Callithrix jacchus: one gene and its partners. The main gene of each other region encodes a partner of the protein of the gene in region 2 in a complex. Links are inferred from orthologs where the notes say so. Each region holds a gene or a part of one and is shown on either strand. Other genes may lie near its edges.

Region 1 (5,392 bases), on a different chromosome or scaffold from region 2:
CCACTTCTATTCAATATAGTACTGGAAGTTCTAGCCAGAGCAATGAGGCAAGAAAAAGAAATAAAGGGTGTTCAACTAGGAAAGGAAGAAGTCAAATTGTCTCTATTTGCAGACGACATGATTGTGTATCTAGAGGACCCCATCATCTCAGCCCAAAATCTCCTGAAACTGATAAGCAACTTCAGCAATGTCTCAGGATACAAAATCAATGTGCAAAAATCACAAGCATTCCTATACACCAATAACAGACTTAAAGAGAGCCAAATCAAGAACAAACTGCCATTCACAGTTGCTACAAAGAGAATAAAATACCTAGGAATACAACTAACAAGGAACGTAAAGACCTCTTCAAGGAGAACTACAAACCACTGCTCAACGAAATAAGAGAGGACACAAACATATGGAGAAACATTCCATGTTCATGGTTAGGAAGAATCAATATCATGAAAATGGCCATATGCCCAAAGTAATTTACAGATTCAACGTTATCCCCATCAAACTACCAATGAGCTTATTCACAGAACTGGAAAAAACCACCTTAAACTTCATATGGAACCAAATGAGAGTCCGCATAGCCAAGTCAATTCTGAGTAAAAAGAACACAGCGGGAGGCATCACCCTACTGGACTTCAAACTATACTACAAGGCTACAGTAATCAAAACAGCATGGTATTGGTACCAAAACAGCGATATAGACCAATGGAACAAAACAGAGGCCTCGGAGGCAACACAACAAATCTACAACCATACAATCTTTGATAAACCTGACAAAAAGAAGCAATGGGGAAAGGATTCCCTGTTTAATAAATGGTGTTGGGAAAAGTAGCTAGCTATGTGCAGAAAGCAGAAACTGGACCCCTTCCTGACACCTTACACTAAAATTAACTCCAGATGGATTAAAGACAAACATAAGACCTAACACCATAAAAACACTAGAAGAAAATCTAGGCGAAATTCAGGACATAGGAGTAGGCAAGGACTTCATGACCAAAACACCAAAAGCATTGGCAACAAAAGCCAAAATAGAAAAATGGGACCTAATCAAACTCCATAGTTTCTGCACGGCAAAAAAAAACAGTCATTAGATTGAATAGGCAACCAACAGAATGGGAAAAAATTTTTGCAGTTTACCCATCTGATAAAGGGCTGATATCCAGAATTTACAAAGAACTAAAACAGATTTACAAGAAAAAAACAAATAAGCCCATTCAAAAGGAAGTGAAGGATATGAACAGACACTTTACAAAAGAAGACATACATGTGGCCAACAAACATGAAAAAATGCTCATCATCACTGGTTATTAGAGAAATGCAAATCAAAACTACATTGAGATACCATCTCACGCCAGTTAGAATGGCGATCATTAAAAAATCTGGAGACAACAGATGCTGGAGAGGATGTGGAGAAATAGGAACACTTTTACAGTGCTGTTGGGAGTGTAAATTAGTTCAACCATTGTGGAAGACAATGTGGCGATTCCTCAAGGACCTAGAAATAGAAATTCCATTTGACCGAGCAATCCCATTACTGGGTATATATCCAAAGGAATATAAATCGTTCTACTATAAGGACACATGCACACGAATGGTCACTGCAGCACTGTTTACAATAGCAAAGACCTGGAATCAACCCAAATGCCCATGGATGATAGACTGGACAGGGAAAATGTGGCACATATACACCATGGAATATTATGCAGCAATCAGAAATGATGAGTTCGTGTCCTTTGCAGGGACATGGATGAACCTGGAGAACATCATTCTCAGCAAGCTTACACAAGAACAGAAAACGAAATACCGAATGTTCTCACTCATAGGGGGGTGTTGGACAATGAGAACACATGGACACAGGGAGGGGAGCACTACACACTGGGGTCTATTGGGGAAAATAGGGGAGGGACAGCGGGGGGTGGGGAGTTGGGGAGAGATAGCATGGGGAGAAATGCCAGATATAGGTGAAGGGGAGGAAGGCAGCAAATCACACTGCTGTGCACCTATGCAACTATCTTGCATGTTCTTCACATGTACCCCAAAACCTAAAATGCAATAAAATAAATACTTTAAATATATAAATAAATAAAAATTCAGGTGATACTTATTCTACAACTGACTCTTCTGCCTTGTACTGTATACAAACACCTTGGATGGGAATTGGCATACATTAGCCATTAAATCAATCAGAGAAACATTTTTCCATTCTAATGTGGTAATATTCCCCATTTCCCCCTTTCTCTGAATGACAGTCATCTCAGGTTTTAAAACCAGCTCAAAAGATAGCTTCTCCATGATGCTTTTCCTAACTTTCCCAATTGTTCACTACTCAGTATTACCATAGTAACATGGTCTCTTCTCTACAAGCACTCTTATCAGACATACAAGGCTTTTGTTTACCTGCCTGTCTCTAAACTGTAAGCTCTTCCTGGAAAACTACCTTACCTATGCCTCTTTGTATCTCCGGCGCCTAGTACAGTGCCCAGTGGCTAGCAGGCGTTCAATTAATGACTGTAGAAGAAATGGAGAATTAATGACCTCCAAGTTAAGCAAAGAATATATCAAACTCAAAAATGTACTTTTAAAAACTTAAGGCCCTAGATATAGGCTGCGTGAGTTGGGTTAAGGCAGAAAATATGACCGGAACGCTGCTGGATAGGGAAATCTCCACTTGACTTTTTCAAGTACATGCTGAGAAGTACCAGCTTCAGTGTTTCGATGCAACATTGTCCACAGGAAGAAGTAAAGACAACACTTCTCGTGGTCTCTTCCTACCACAAGATCCCTGAACCCATTCCCCACCCCAAATCCGGGAAATCTCATTTTGGGGATCTCAGGGCCCCAAGTTCCCTAGATGAAGCTCTCACCTTCCCATTCGTGGGAGGCTCCTGGATGTAGATGTTGCTCATCGCGATCAGTACTAAGGACTCTGCTCCTTATGGGGGATGAGAGTGGACGGCGGGTCACGAAAGCTGTCCGCCTACGAGCACACTCTTCGTTAAGTCGAGTGGTCCAGGAAAGCTTCAGTTTGTCAACATCACGCAAGACAGGAACACCAAACACTACCTTTGCCCAAAACAACCCCTCTCGGACGCCGCCATGTTGTTATCGGACCCGAGCACCGCTAATGCTGAGAAGGGTGATTCCAATGTACTCCTGGGTACAAAAAAAAGTCTGTAAAGCTACTATGGCTTAATGTAATTTGTATTACAACATTAGAAGAGGCACTTCGTAAGTTTTGGCGGTGTTTACTTCACTACTTGCGTGTGCAGATCGCACTCAGCACCCCCCAAAACTAACAGTAATGGTCCGGACCATGTGTCTTCTGCAATATGACTCGTCCGGAAACCGCATCTGCGTCTACTGGTTCTGTTGTCGCTAGAGGCTTACAGGGCCTTCCGACTGTAGCGAAGGTGCTGCCGCTCTGGGGAAGGCAAACGCCGCTTTGGCTGTGCCTTGTCCTCGCAGCTGGCGGGAAGCAAGCGCCTTTTCGAAAGCCGGAGGCTGCAGTGACCCCTGTCACCACCGTCATGGCGGTCCCAGGTAAGGAGCCACTGCGTCCGAGCTCGGAAGGGAGCGCAAGGGAGGATAGGGTAGGGTGCAGGATGTAGGGAGCAGCGCCCATGGGGATTTAGGTGGAGGCCTTAAAATTCATGAGTTTGTTTTGTTTACGTGAAAAAGTTTACAGTCCAAAGAAAAACTCTGAAGGAAAGAAAGTAACTATCTTCCTCCCCCCGCAACTGCATGGGATTACAGGGAAAGTATATCGTGGAAGGGAGGGAGAAGGGAGAGACTGTAATTGTAGGCCTAAGGGGGCAGGCGGCCAAGAAAAACTACCTTAACTGTGGTATGGCTTTAAAATAGAATTTGAAGTGGAAACACTTGGCCGACTCAGGTAACCGGAGCCATCGTTTGTCTTAGAAGTCGCTAGGACCTGCCGGGTGTCTGGGTTCTACTCCTAGCCTTTCCTGTTGTAGGTAGCTGCTCTGTGGCCACAGATTGGTCTCTTTGTGCTTCTGGGCCTCAGTTTTCTTATAAAAACATGGAGCTTTGTTGAATGATGTATAAGATTTCTTCTGAGTCTCAAATTCTGTGTCCAGAAGTTACTGCCCTAAAAATGGTGAACTCGCAGAATAATTAAAAGATTTTCTCGTCCTCAACTACTAGCTTACTTGGAAGTTCTAGTAGGGGAGTGCATCTCCTTAAACCGGCTTTGCGAACACTGGTTGCAGGAGATATTTTCAGGAATATACACTCCTCCACCCTATCCCCCGCAACTTGGAAATTCACAGTGCACTTTAGTAATAGAAAGGATTCTGAAAATTACCATGGTTCAGAGCCCTGTTTAAACCTACCTTTCCCAGTATTATTTGACCAGATAATCTTTGTTCTGTGGCAGCCTTTTTGAACCTCATTCTACAGATACCTGTTATGGGAACATTGGCTTTTGTACCAACTGCAGTTTGGGGAGGAGTACATCTGGAGCTGTGAGAGAGGAAGTGTACACTCTATTAAGTGCCTATTGTGTGCCAGGCACTGGAGGCATTGAAAATACAATCGTGAGCAAGGTAGACATGGCTACACTTCACACAGAACTTAGAATTTAGCAGCGAAGAGAGAGAAATTTACAGAAAATAGAACAACTGCCATGGCAAGGAAAATACAAGAACTTAGGAAGCACATAGTAAGGGCACCAAACACATAGAGGATGGGCAGAAGGACTCCAGAGGATGTAGCCTTTAGGAGGAGATCTAAATTATAGAAGGAGTGGTTTGGAGGGAGAGGAGACTGTAGTTGGAGGAACTGGATATGTAAAGGAAGAGGAAATATGTGAGAAGAGGAAATGAAAGATGCTTTCTGTAGATGAAACACAGATGCAAATGAGAGATAAGTGAGAAATTAAGTAGAGCGATAGTAACTGTAGCTAATATTTACTAATATGTTTCAAATGTGTCATACTGCATTAAACATTGTATTCTATCTCATTTAACATTCACAACTGCACTGTGAAATGAGTATTAATATTCTCATTTTACAGATGAGGACACTGAGGGACAAAGAAATCAAGTAATATGCCTATTATGAGACAGCTAGTAAGCAAGAGGCCAGTCTGGCTCCTCTGGACTGTGCGCTTCATTCATTTTGCCGTAGTACAGGATAACTTACAAGGTAGTTTCCATCTCTTGAAGGACCTTGTAGCCTATGACAAGAGGTTTGGCATTGTCCTAAGAATAGTAGGAAGCCATCTAAGGGTTTTTAAGCAGATTTACATTTTGGAAAGATAATTCTGGCTATACGGTAGATTGGAGGCAAAAGTTTACTAGTTAGGAGTAATTCTTGTGAGTTATGATGATAACTAAATAGGTAAGAGAAGTAGGTAAGTTGAAGACACAATTTTGGT
Region 2 (5,177 bases):
CTATGAACCAATATTTCTCCCTTCTCAACCCAGATTATGTAGTACGCTGCAGAGAACTCTGTGGTTTACACTTACTGAATACTGTGATGATTTACTTGCCTCTCTTCCCACTAGACTGGGAACTGCATGATGACACACTTGGCAGAGTGCCTGACACACAGAAGGCATTTAGCAATATGCTTTCCATACCTCTATTTTTAGTAGTTCTTACTACATATGCCTTTCGCACTGCTAGTTTTTTTCTAGTTTCTTCAACTGTTTCAAATTCTGGAGCATAGCACACATGAAGCAATCCACCGAAAAAACTCTGTTCATCCATTTTTCTCTTGGCTGTCCTGAATGGAAATACAAGATAGCATGGTTTTTTTAAATCCAGATTTACTTACAAATGAGAGCTTAACTAGTATACAATACCTGGAGCTAAAGCCAAAGTCCAGCTTTTGCAATGTGTATGTATATATCCTGTGGACTGGGAATCAAGATGCTCTGTTTGTGGATGGTATTCATACCACCCATCCAGTATGTACTCTTAGAGCCTTCTCTTCCCTTTAAACCTCTTGGATTTGTTCCCTAGTCTTTAAGCAACTAAGGACCCAGCTGGTTGGCCTGAGGTATGTAAACTCTGGTCATAAAATAGAGCTTTTCTGTGGCCCTGAAGAGTTAGTTCATATCCAATTAAGCTTTTTCAGCACAATGTATTTCTGTAATGGGATTTATGCCTTAAAAATCAGATGAAAAATACTATAATCATAATACCTTCAATAACTGAGGAAATACTAAATATATAACAATGAGAAAATAAAAATGTTATTCAGTCAATACTTACTAAACATCTATGATATGCCAAGTACTACAATAAATAAATTTAACTACTCCTATATCCAGGGATAATATTAATACTTGTTGAGATTTTATCATATGCCAAGCAATGTCATAAGTGCTTCCCTTGAATTAATACCTCACAACTGTATAATGAAAGTGAAGCACTAGGACATTATATAACTTAGCCATGCTCATACTCTCGTTTGAGGAGCAAGGATTCAAATAAGGCATTGCATACTTCAGCTTTTTTTGAGCAGAGGGCTTATATCAGATAGAAGGCTGGAAAAAACTGAGTCAATTCGCAGAAAGGAGTGACAATAGCTAATGCTTACTGTATTCTGACCAGGAGGGACTATGCTAAACCCTTTATATGGATCATCTCATTTCATCAGCATACTACCTCAAGAAGGTCCCTTTAGCATATAGATTTTATGGAAGAGGAAAAACAGGTTTAACCTGGTTAAATAACTTGTCCAAGGTCATGAAGCTAGTAAGCAGTTGGACTGGAAAACTTACTCCAAGCCCAACTTTTTGTTTTATTTTTTTGAGACAGTGTCTCACTCTGTCCCCCAGGCTAAAGTGTAGTGGCCCATAAACAACTCACTGCAACCTATGCCTCCTGGGCTCAACTGATTCTCCCACCTCAACCTCCCAAGTAGCTGGGACTACAGGCATGCTCAGCTTGATTTTTGTATTTTTCGTAGAGGCAGCGTTTCACCATGTTGGCCAGTCTGGTCTTGAACTGGGCTCAAGCAATCTGTCCACCTTGGTCTTCCAAAGTGCTGGGATCAAATTCAACTTTTTTTTTTTTTTTTTGAGACAGTCTCACTCTTGCCCAGACTGGAGTGCAGTGGTGTGATCTCAGGTCACCACAACCTCCACTTCCTGGTTTCAAGTGATCCTTGTGCCTCAATCTTCCCAGTAGCACAGGCTTGTGCAACCACACTTGGCTAATTTTGTATTTAGTAGAGTCAGGGTTTCACCATGTTGCTCAGGCTGGGCTTGAACTCCTGACCTCAGGTGATCCCCCTATCTCGACCTCCCAAAGTGCTGGGATTATAGGTGTGAGCCATGTGCCTGGCCTCAAACCCATCTTTTTTTTTTTTTTTTTTTTTTGAGAGCCTCGCTTTATAACATAAAAATAGATAAGGCATTGCATACTTCAGCCTTTTTGGACTCTAAGCTGGAGTCCTGTGGCATGATCTTGGCTCACTGCAATCCTCCACCTCCCAGGTTCAAGTGATTCCCATGCCTCAGCCACCTGAGTAGCTGGGACTACAGGTCCCAACCACCACGCCCAGCTAATTTTTGTACTTTTAGTAGAGCTGGGGTTTCTGTCATGTTGGCCAGGTTGGTCTTGAACTGTCGACATCAAGTGATCTGCCTGCCTCAGTCTCCCAAAGTGGTGGGATTACAGGCGAGAGCCACCGTGTCCTAACTTCAAACCCAACTTTTAATCTACCACACCACAGGACATTAAATTGTTAAGCATGGGAATGATGTGATGGGAACAGTGCTTCAAGTAAAGTATACCTTTAAAAAGGCTAGAGGAAAATAAGTGGAATATAGGCTAGATTACATTGAATGAGGTATGAATGAGGGAAACTTGGGCCCAAAATGATAGAAATATGAATGGAGAAAATGAGTCACTGCTTAACTTGCACATTACCTTGCACTTTGTAAGTTCACAAATTTAATAAGATAAACTTCAGTAAAGTCTTCTGCCGGGTATTCATCTAGAGCATTATACTGTTCAATTGGACCATATAAAGCGAATCGCTCAACTAATTCTTTCATGGCTCCCACAGCAGGAACTCCTTGTATTAGTAAGTACTGAGATTCCAAATTGATTGTATATACCTGAAAGAAATGCAGAGTCGTTAAATGTATCTCGCAAATAAACCTAGGACGAATCTGCCTCTATTTTTTTTTAAACAGCGCTTTCAAAACAAGAAATAATCTGTTCAACCCAAACACAAAATAAAATGTCTCTCATTCCCTCTGCATAAAGAGTAACAGCCCATGTGAGAGGGTACCTAACAAAGGCATATAACAGACTACCTTCAGTCGACATTTTTTTCCAGAAATTGAGTCGGTAGAATTCACCGGGAACAATCACTCAACGAGTATTCACTGAGCGCTTACCTTGTGCCAAGTAGTACTGTAAATACAGAAGATCCAATGACTAAAACCAAGCCTTACTCTCGTGGAGGTGCTGTTCTAATAGTTGACCAAAAGGATCGTGAGAATCTTTGATAACTGACCCAAGCAAGGTTCTTCACGCTAGCTCTAAAGAGAGAGGGATCTGACAGCAGCCTTGTCCTGCCCTTATTTCTGTAGACTGGCTATATGGCGCTAGCACTCATATAAAGCTACCGAAGAGAGCGAATGAAACCAAAATCACTTTACCTTGACAGCACGAGGCCGTCGTCCCTCCCGATATTTGGCCCGCGTGTCGCATACCGCCCGCTGGACGTGGTGGTCAAATACATTCCCTAACTCCCCACCGCTCGACGCCATCTTGCCTGCTTTGATCCTCGCAGGGAGGACAACATCCGCCCTGCTGAGCTCCCTTTTCCCCAATAAGAGAGCGAGATGAGTCAAGGAGTCCCACGATTGGCTGGAGAATCGACAGCGTCGGCCATCGTTTCCTGCGTGAGAGGATTTGATGAACGAGTTGCCGCCCCCGCGAGCGGCACCGCGGAGAGGCGCGGTGAGTGGCAGAAGCTCGCTTGTTCCACCTAATACAGGCTTGCGACGAGAGGCGCAGCGGTCAGAGGGGGCGGGGCCGATCTATCTCCTCCGGCTCCGACGCCCTTGGCCTGCCAGGTCCCGGGTCCGCTGCGGCGCTGGGGTGGGGCGAACCCGGAGCGACGCGTAAGGACGATGTGGGGCAGCGATCTCCTGGCGGATGCTGGGCGAGGCGGGACGGCAGTGACTGTGGTCTTCACCAACGCTCGCGACTGCTTCCTCCACCTGCCGCGGCGTCTCGTGGCCCAGCTGCACCTGCTGCAGGTAACGTGCCGGCTCCGGCCACCTGCTGTTCAGCCTGGGGTCGGACTAGGCCGAAACCTCTCTGGGAGGCGGCGGGATGCCTGCTGCCTTTCGGGCGCCGCCGAAGCGCGCAGAGGTCAGACGAAGGGTCCCTCGAGGACAGGGCCCCTCTGAGTAGTCTTTGCGTCCCACAAGTCCTGGGCAGCCCTGGGCTTGTCTTATCCCAGGTCTTTTCACTTGGTGAAACTGAGCCTAGAAACATTCTAACATTCTACCATTGTTTTTAGAAATATTCCTTATTCCAGGTTGGAATATCTCCTGAGAAGTCGTTTGTTTTTGTTATTTTAAAAGGTGTTTTTCTTGCCAGTCATTTCCAGTTACCTGCGCTGCTGCCGTCCCGGCCGCGAGAGGGAGGCGGAGAATTGTTGGCTGAGCCCGGGTAGATTCCCGGGGACTGACCACCGCGTCCCATAAGCGGGAAAGATTAATACAATGATGGTTTTGCGCGGCGTCGCTGACCCTCGGAACACAGCTGTGGTGTGTTAGGAACACGTAACGTAGTTAGGATCACTTGAAGCTCTGAGATCAGTCGCCTTTCTGGACGTTGTGGTAGGGAAGTTTCACAGTTGTAACCACTGGTGGAGATACAGCGTCCCTACTTTCATAATTAAAAATAGAGGCACATGGTCTCAAGAATTTGAGTGTGCTTATGGGGGCAAAAGGATAGCGTATTTGAAGTTCTCATTGTAAGGTTAGCCAAGAGGAAAGGAGAGTAGACCCAAAGTCAGGCAAGCAAGTCTTATTAACTTGCCAGGCTGTTGGTAACACTCAGAGGAGGCAGCCCCGAGCTCACAAAATGAGGGGCTTTTATGGGGTGAGAGGAGCTTAAGAGAGTTTCAGGACTGAGATAATTTATCAGCTTGTCACAGGCACAGAGATAGTTTGTTAACTTGTGACTGGCTTACAATATACATCATCCTGCGAATCCTGTGACTTGTGGCGGCAGTTTTTTAAAAAACAGGATTTTACAGGTATGTGGAAAACAGGAATACACGTATGGCTAACAAACATTTGTTTTCCCTGTCCTCCCCCGACCTGCCCAGATGGCTGTAATCAGGCTTTGCTTAATTGTAGCACCTAGGTAGGCGTTCAGGAATGGAAAGCAGCTGCAGAGCAATCAGGCTGTGGGGGCCGGGTGTGGGGGTGGGAGGTCAGCTTGCGCGAAGGGGTTTTCTGAGGCAGCTTGTCCCTAATACTCATAAATCCTGGAGGCGTGGTACCCACCAGTGGCTAATCTATGCAATAATAGTTAAAGAGTTTGCAATAATTTCAAGCATCCCTTCTTTCCACTTGAGTTACTT
Region 3 (5,220 bases), on a different chromosome or scaffold from region 2:
TATGTAGTTAAGGCTTTAGTATTGTTATTTCTAATCCTCAGGATGACATCATAAAACAGGTATTCATTCATTCACCAAATATATACTGAGTGCTTACTATGTACCAATTACTGTTCTAAATACCAAAGATCAACATGATAGACAAAGCCCTTGCCCTCATCAGATGGCATTCTAGACAGGAGGTAGACAATAAGGATACAGACAATCTAATAAAACAAGCAAGCTTTTCAAATAGTAGCATTATAGAGACAATTCTAACAGAATATGAAGGCAGAGATGAGGAAAAGGAAAGAAGAAATTAGTTTACAGGCTGATTAGGGAAACCTCTCCGAGAAAAGACCCTTCAGCTGAGACCCAAACACCAAGGAGCCAGATACGTAAGCTCTCAGTAAAGACCTCGAGGACACAGCAGCAAGGACAAATCTCTTTGGATGGGGGAGGCTTGGCAGAACCAATGAGGATGGCATATGATGAATGAGGAGGAGTATGGTACAATATGAAGTCAGAGGGGGACATACAGTAAGGAGGAATAAGGTAAAACCAGCAGGTTATAACAAATAGCTTGGTTCTGAGTGCCAGGAACCACCTAACTCTATGTTTTATTGCAATTGGAATGATGCACATCAAATTCACTCCAGTAGGCTTAACATTAAAAGAGTGAAAATTATATGACTTCTCTATGGATCCTCTTACCCACCTTGCTTTTTTTGAAGTCAAAGCTTTATTTTCATTCAGCTTTCTTCCACCACTTTCTGTATCAAAATAGAAGTTATTTTAAAGGGTTACTTCTATACATTTAACATATAACATTAAGAAGTTCATTCTCTGACTTTCTGCCAAACTAGTAGCCTATATCTAATTTTTAAATCTTCATTTAACAGTCAGGTTATTAAGACGCTGCTTAAAAAGAAAACATTTATTAGAGAAACAATAAAAATTTGTATAAAATACAATCATTTTATTTTTCAGACTCAAGGTAGTACCTTAGGAATGGGTCTATATTTACTTGATATACTGTAAAATCTAGAACCCACTACTTCAGTGTCATAGACCTTGAATGTCTATGTTTCTTTTCTTTCCCTTCGAAAACATACTTTATGTATTTAATGATAATGAAGGTAAATACTTCACTGTAAGTAATTAATGATAATGAAGGTAAAATGGGTTAAAGGATTTATTCAAGAATATAAAAACCAGATTTAAAAAAATTTCTCCTCAGAAGAGCGGAGAAATTAAATGCAGTCTCTAAATAAGCTGAATCAAATCAAATATTATGATACTGTCACCACTTGACAATCATTTAATAATTTTGCTATCTCCTGATGTTAGGAACCTGTACAAGTAACAGAACTAAGTAGAAGATATTAAATAACTTGGGGACCCAGGATTCTTTCATGTTTAATAGACAAAATACTTTGAACACATTTCATTTTACAAATAACGTAAAAGATAAAATATTCACAGGAGTCTCTGGTTAAATTCCTATTTTCTAAAAGAAGAAATACCTGTGGTATTCCTAGCACCATCTTTCCATGTATCTGGAGTGATAACAGTACCAAGTTTCTTTTCACCTGTTATAATAAGATAGTAAAAAGCAATTTAAAATTTAGTATTTCATAAGTGCATCACATTGTGCCTAAGGTTCACAATGGTATCAACAGTCCTATTACTGCAGGAGCCTGTTAATGCTGGGAGAGCAGTCAGTGAACTGAGACTTGTATTAACTGTGGGCAATGAATGACTGATCCACAGTAAAATCCGTAGGATAATAAGATGGCTTATAATAAGCTTTCTCTGTTTGTTTATACTTTAAACAAATCTGGCAAGTCTATTTGTTCCATACATATTTACTAAGCATCTATGATGTATAAACTATACAAATTACTGAAAAAAATAAGTGATGAATCAGACAAAATTTTAAAGAGATTATAGTACAGTAGTTTAACAGCAATCTTTAATCTATGTTCCACAGGTCGATCTTAAGAGATATGTGAACAAGGCAGAATTGTACACAAACCTTTTATATATCTTTTTTTTTTCTTTCCTGGCAAGAGTCTATAGCTTTCTTCAGATTCTCAGAGAGAACCTGAGAATCATTCAACCAAAATATAAGCTAAAAATTAAACGGTGTAATAATTGAGAGCTAAAGTACTAGGTGAAATTCCATGCAGGAAGATATAACCCTGGCTAAGGAAATCCAAGAAAGTTTGGGGAGAAGGCAAGAGAGAGGATTTGAATATGTGGCAATAGGACTGTGAACAAAAAGGAGTAAAGAGGATAAAGGCAGACTGATAAAGGACACATTCTGAGGAAAGGCATGGAAAGCTCCGAGTACACATGGGCACAAAGGGTAGTTACGTTTGGTCAAAGTGTGAAGAGGGTAAGGATCAGTGAAGATGAAGCTGGAAAAATAAGTTGGGGCCTTATTGCGGAGGGTCCTGAACGTCAGGCTCCAAATACAGAATCCCCACATTGTTCTCTGCACACTGAGAATTTATTAAAGGTGTTAAATTAGGGAAATAGTAACTTGCACTTGCGTTGATGTTCAATTCACACATCTTCTGGGCTTACTCTAAGCCATATTCTGGCATAATGACTAACAGGAATGAGTAAGACGAGGTCCTTGGTCTTTGGTTCTAGTGTGTTACATGAATAAAAAGGAAAGGTCAGGAATTGCAAGAGGGAAAGGTGTGATTGGGGTTTAACTGAACATTTTTATACGGGAGGGGAGCTGATGAGATCTGGAGCTGGGGGAAGGCAATGGAAATAGACAAGGAGATGCAGAACTAAGACCATTCTGAAAACAAAATATACTATAGGACTATATGGTCTTTGGGGAGGTGCAAAAATGGTCAAAGGGTAGAGCAGAAGGACAGCGACTAGAATCAAAGATGTGGGCGAAGAAAAAACAAAAGAGAAGGCAGAGTTCCCGGGAGAGTTCATTTAGGTTCCCCCAGTTTCTTCCTCCCGCAGGAGGAGCCCCTTAACTCACATTTTTCGCAGACCATCCTTCCCCACGACGGTTCCCCTAGCCGCAACAGCAGCAGCAGCAGCAGCAACAGCAGCCCGAAAACATCAAAACTAAAACCCGGACGGCTTCCCCTTCCGGGCTACGTCAACCCACTTCCGGCTTCTAAGCACGCCGCTCCGGTCTAGCCCAAACTTGGAAGGCCGCGGGAGGAATGAACGGGAGCGTCTAGGCGGGGCTGCCCCATCTGCCCGCCCCTCTCTTTCTGCTACTGGCTATGCGGCCCTGGATCTCCGCCCCTTAACCCTGCGCTTGCGGGTGGGCCTGGGTAGCACGTCGTACCTGATGGTAGGAGGCAGTAGTTCCCCGCTTCCCTTCCGCGGGTGGGAGAGTTAGGTAAGCCCCAATGTACGCCCCCGGCGATCTCGCCCCCCGGGGTGCAAGCCACCCCCGCGAACTGCCGTAGCAGCCGTGAGCCTTGGCGTCCCGGCCCGCCCGCTCTCGCCCTCAGCTCGAGCGCCACTCTTCCGGCGTGCTCTGATGGACAGACCCCCCCTTTCGGATCCGAGTTTCTGCCTCTGTCCCCCAGTTTTCCCTTGTCTCCAACTCCCGTGCTCTTTGATCCTGCCTCTCTGCTGGTTCCTGGCTGTCGACGCTCGCGCCGGCCTAGGCTCGGGCAGAATCCCGAGCGACCCAGGTTGGGGTGGGGCTGCCAGTGAAGGTGCGGCGATGCCCGCGAGGGCTCCTCTGGGGGCCGCTCGGAAGCGCCGTCTCTCTGCTGCGGTGCCTAGCGAGGTGGGCCAGGTCATACCCGTGGCACCCTTGTAGGTGTCCTGGGGGCACGCCAGGGCCTAACACGGTGTGGGTTTCCCAGGAGAGTTAGTTTCCCACTTTACATACTCTGGTTCCTTCATTCGTTCAGCAAACATTTGAGTTTGGTTCCTGCTTATTGTAGGAGCATCTCCTGTTGGCAGCTGCGATTCCGAGGGTGGCTCAGAAAAATGGATGAAGGGTTTGTTGTGAGGATGGATTCCTGATGATTGCCCTCCCTCAATCAGCTTAAGATAGAATCTATAGGAAACTTTCCCTTTGTCCCTTCTTGCCATCCGTTTCCTTCTCCATCCCTTTATTTCGTTGTACCAGAGAGAGGGCTGTAGCTCTTGAGAACTTGGACCTCCTTACCTGTTTGTCGTGTTTCCTTATCAGTAAAGTATCTGCCTTTGAAAAGCATTGGGTGAATTAAGTGAGAGCAATTTTTTAAATTGCATTTTAGGTTTTGGGGTACATGTGAAGAACATGCAAGATTGTTGCATAGGTACACACGTGGCAGTGTGATTTGCTGCCTTTCTCCCCTTCACCTATTATAAGGTCCAGGTGTTTTGAAACAAATACATTGCCCATAGGAAATTGACTTTATGACTTATTTGTAGGGGTTGAAACATTTTGGACAATGGAAAAAGTCATTATTGCATATGCTCTTCTTGTTTTTTATTAGCTAGCCACCCAGGAAAACACCATGAAAGATACCGATATCAAAAGACTACTGTATACCCATCTTTTATGCATATTTTCAATTATCCTAAGTGTCTTCATTCCATCACTGTGCTTGGAGAACTTCTCATTATTGGAAACACACTTGACATGGTTGTGCACCTGTTCTGGTTTTGTAACTGCTGTCAATCTAGTACTATATTTAGTAGTGAAACCAAATGCATCCTCTAAAAGAAGTTCATTATCACACAAGGTAAGGCTTATTTCTAGATAACTGATTTTTGATGGAGCTAGTATTTCTTTTAATGAAAGAATAAAGTATTCGTCAAATCTTCATTAGGTTATTTATGGTGAGTAAAGGGAACCTGATTTTTTTCCCAAAAAAATTGGTAGCCTGTTACTTGCTAGAAGGCTGCCCACAATGTTTGATTGATCCTTGCCTTGATTAATTGTGGAATTATGACCTCTTCAGTGCATATTATAATATTGTGAGCCTGATTAATCATTGTTTTATGTCACAATTGAAAATAAATATGTATGACAGTCTATCTTTAAACCTTATTCAATTAGACACTGCAGTTTATTTTTATTTATTTTTGCATTTCTGAAAGCCACTTAATGGGTTTTTCAGAAATTGCAATATAAGCTGTGGTAATGCTTGTTTCCCACATGACCTTCCTTGACTAAACAGTTTTCACATATTAGAATTAATTTTCCAGAATATTCACTGCAATAGATACTCACTTGGCAATTACTAATAA

Evidence for each region.
Region 1: RBM48 (region 2) and CWC27 share a complex: the UniProt entries of both Homo sapiens proteins name them as parts of the minor spliceosome. The link is inferred for Callithrix jacchus from reciprocal best matches to the Homo sapiens genes RBM48 and CWC27.
Region 3: RBM48 (region 2) and CRIPT share a complex: the UniProt entries of both Homo sapiens proteins name them as parts of the minor spliceosome. The link is inferred for Callithrix jacchus from reciprocal best matches to the Homo sapiens genes RBM48 and CRIPT.

Annotation. Positions count from the first base shown.
Region 1 is NC_133503.1:144,762,142-144,767,533, forward strand, and holds the start of CWC27 (spliceosome-associated protein CWC27 homolog), read right to left. Parts: upstream 3,108-5,392; 5' UTR 2,901-3,107; coding exon 2,859-2,900; intron 1-2,858. Other genes in the region: protein SREK1IP1, read left to right, coding at 3,522-3,534. UniProt on the Homo sapiens protein: As part of the spliceosome, plays a role in pre-mRNA splicing. Probable inactive PPIase with no peptidyl-prolyl cis-trans isomerase activity. As a component of the minor spliceosome, involved in the splicing of U12-type introns in pre-mRNAs.
Region 2 is NC_133512.1:57,089,608-57,094,784, forward strand, and holds the start of RBM48 (RNA-binding protein 48), read right to left. Parts: upstream 3,348-5,177; 5' UTR 3,343-3,347; coding exon 3,232-3,342; intron 2,683-3,231; coding exon 2,492-2,682; intron 336-2,491; coding exon 190-335; intron 1-189. Other genes in the region: peroxisomal ATPase PEX1, read left to right, coding at 3,709-3,837. UniProt on the Homo sapiens protein: As a component of the minor spliceosome, involved in the splicing of U12-type introns in pre-mRNAs.
Region 3 is NC_133515.1:68,132,161-68,137,380, forward strand, and holds the start of CRIPT (cysteine-rich PDZ-binding protein), read right to left. Parts: upstream 3,108-5,220; 5' UTR 3,009-3,107; coding exon 2,993-3,008; intron 1,572-2,992; coding exon 1,506-1,571; intron 753-1,505; coding exon 698-752; intron 1-697. Other genes in the region: PIGF (GPI ethanolamine phosphate transferase, stabilizing subunit), read left to right, coding at 3,509-3,763, 4,464-4,712. UniProt on the Homo sapiens protein: As a component of the minor spliceosome, involved in the splicing of U12-type introns in pre-mRNAs. Involved in the cytoskeletal anchoring of DLG4 in excitatory synapses.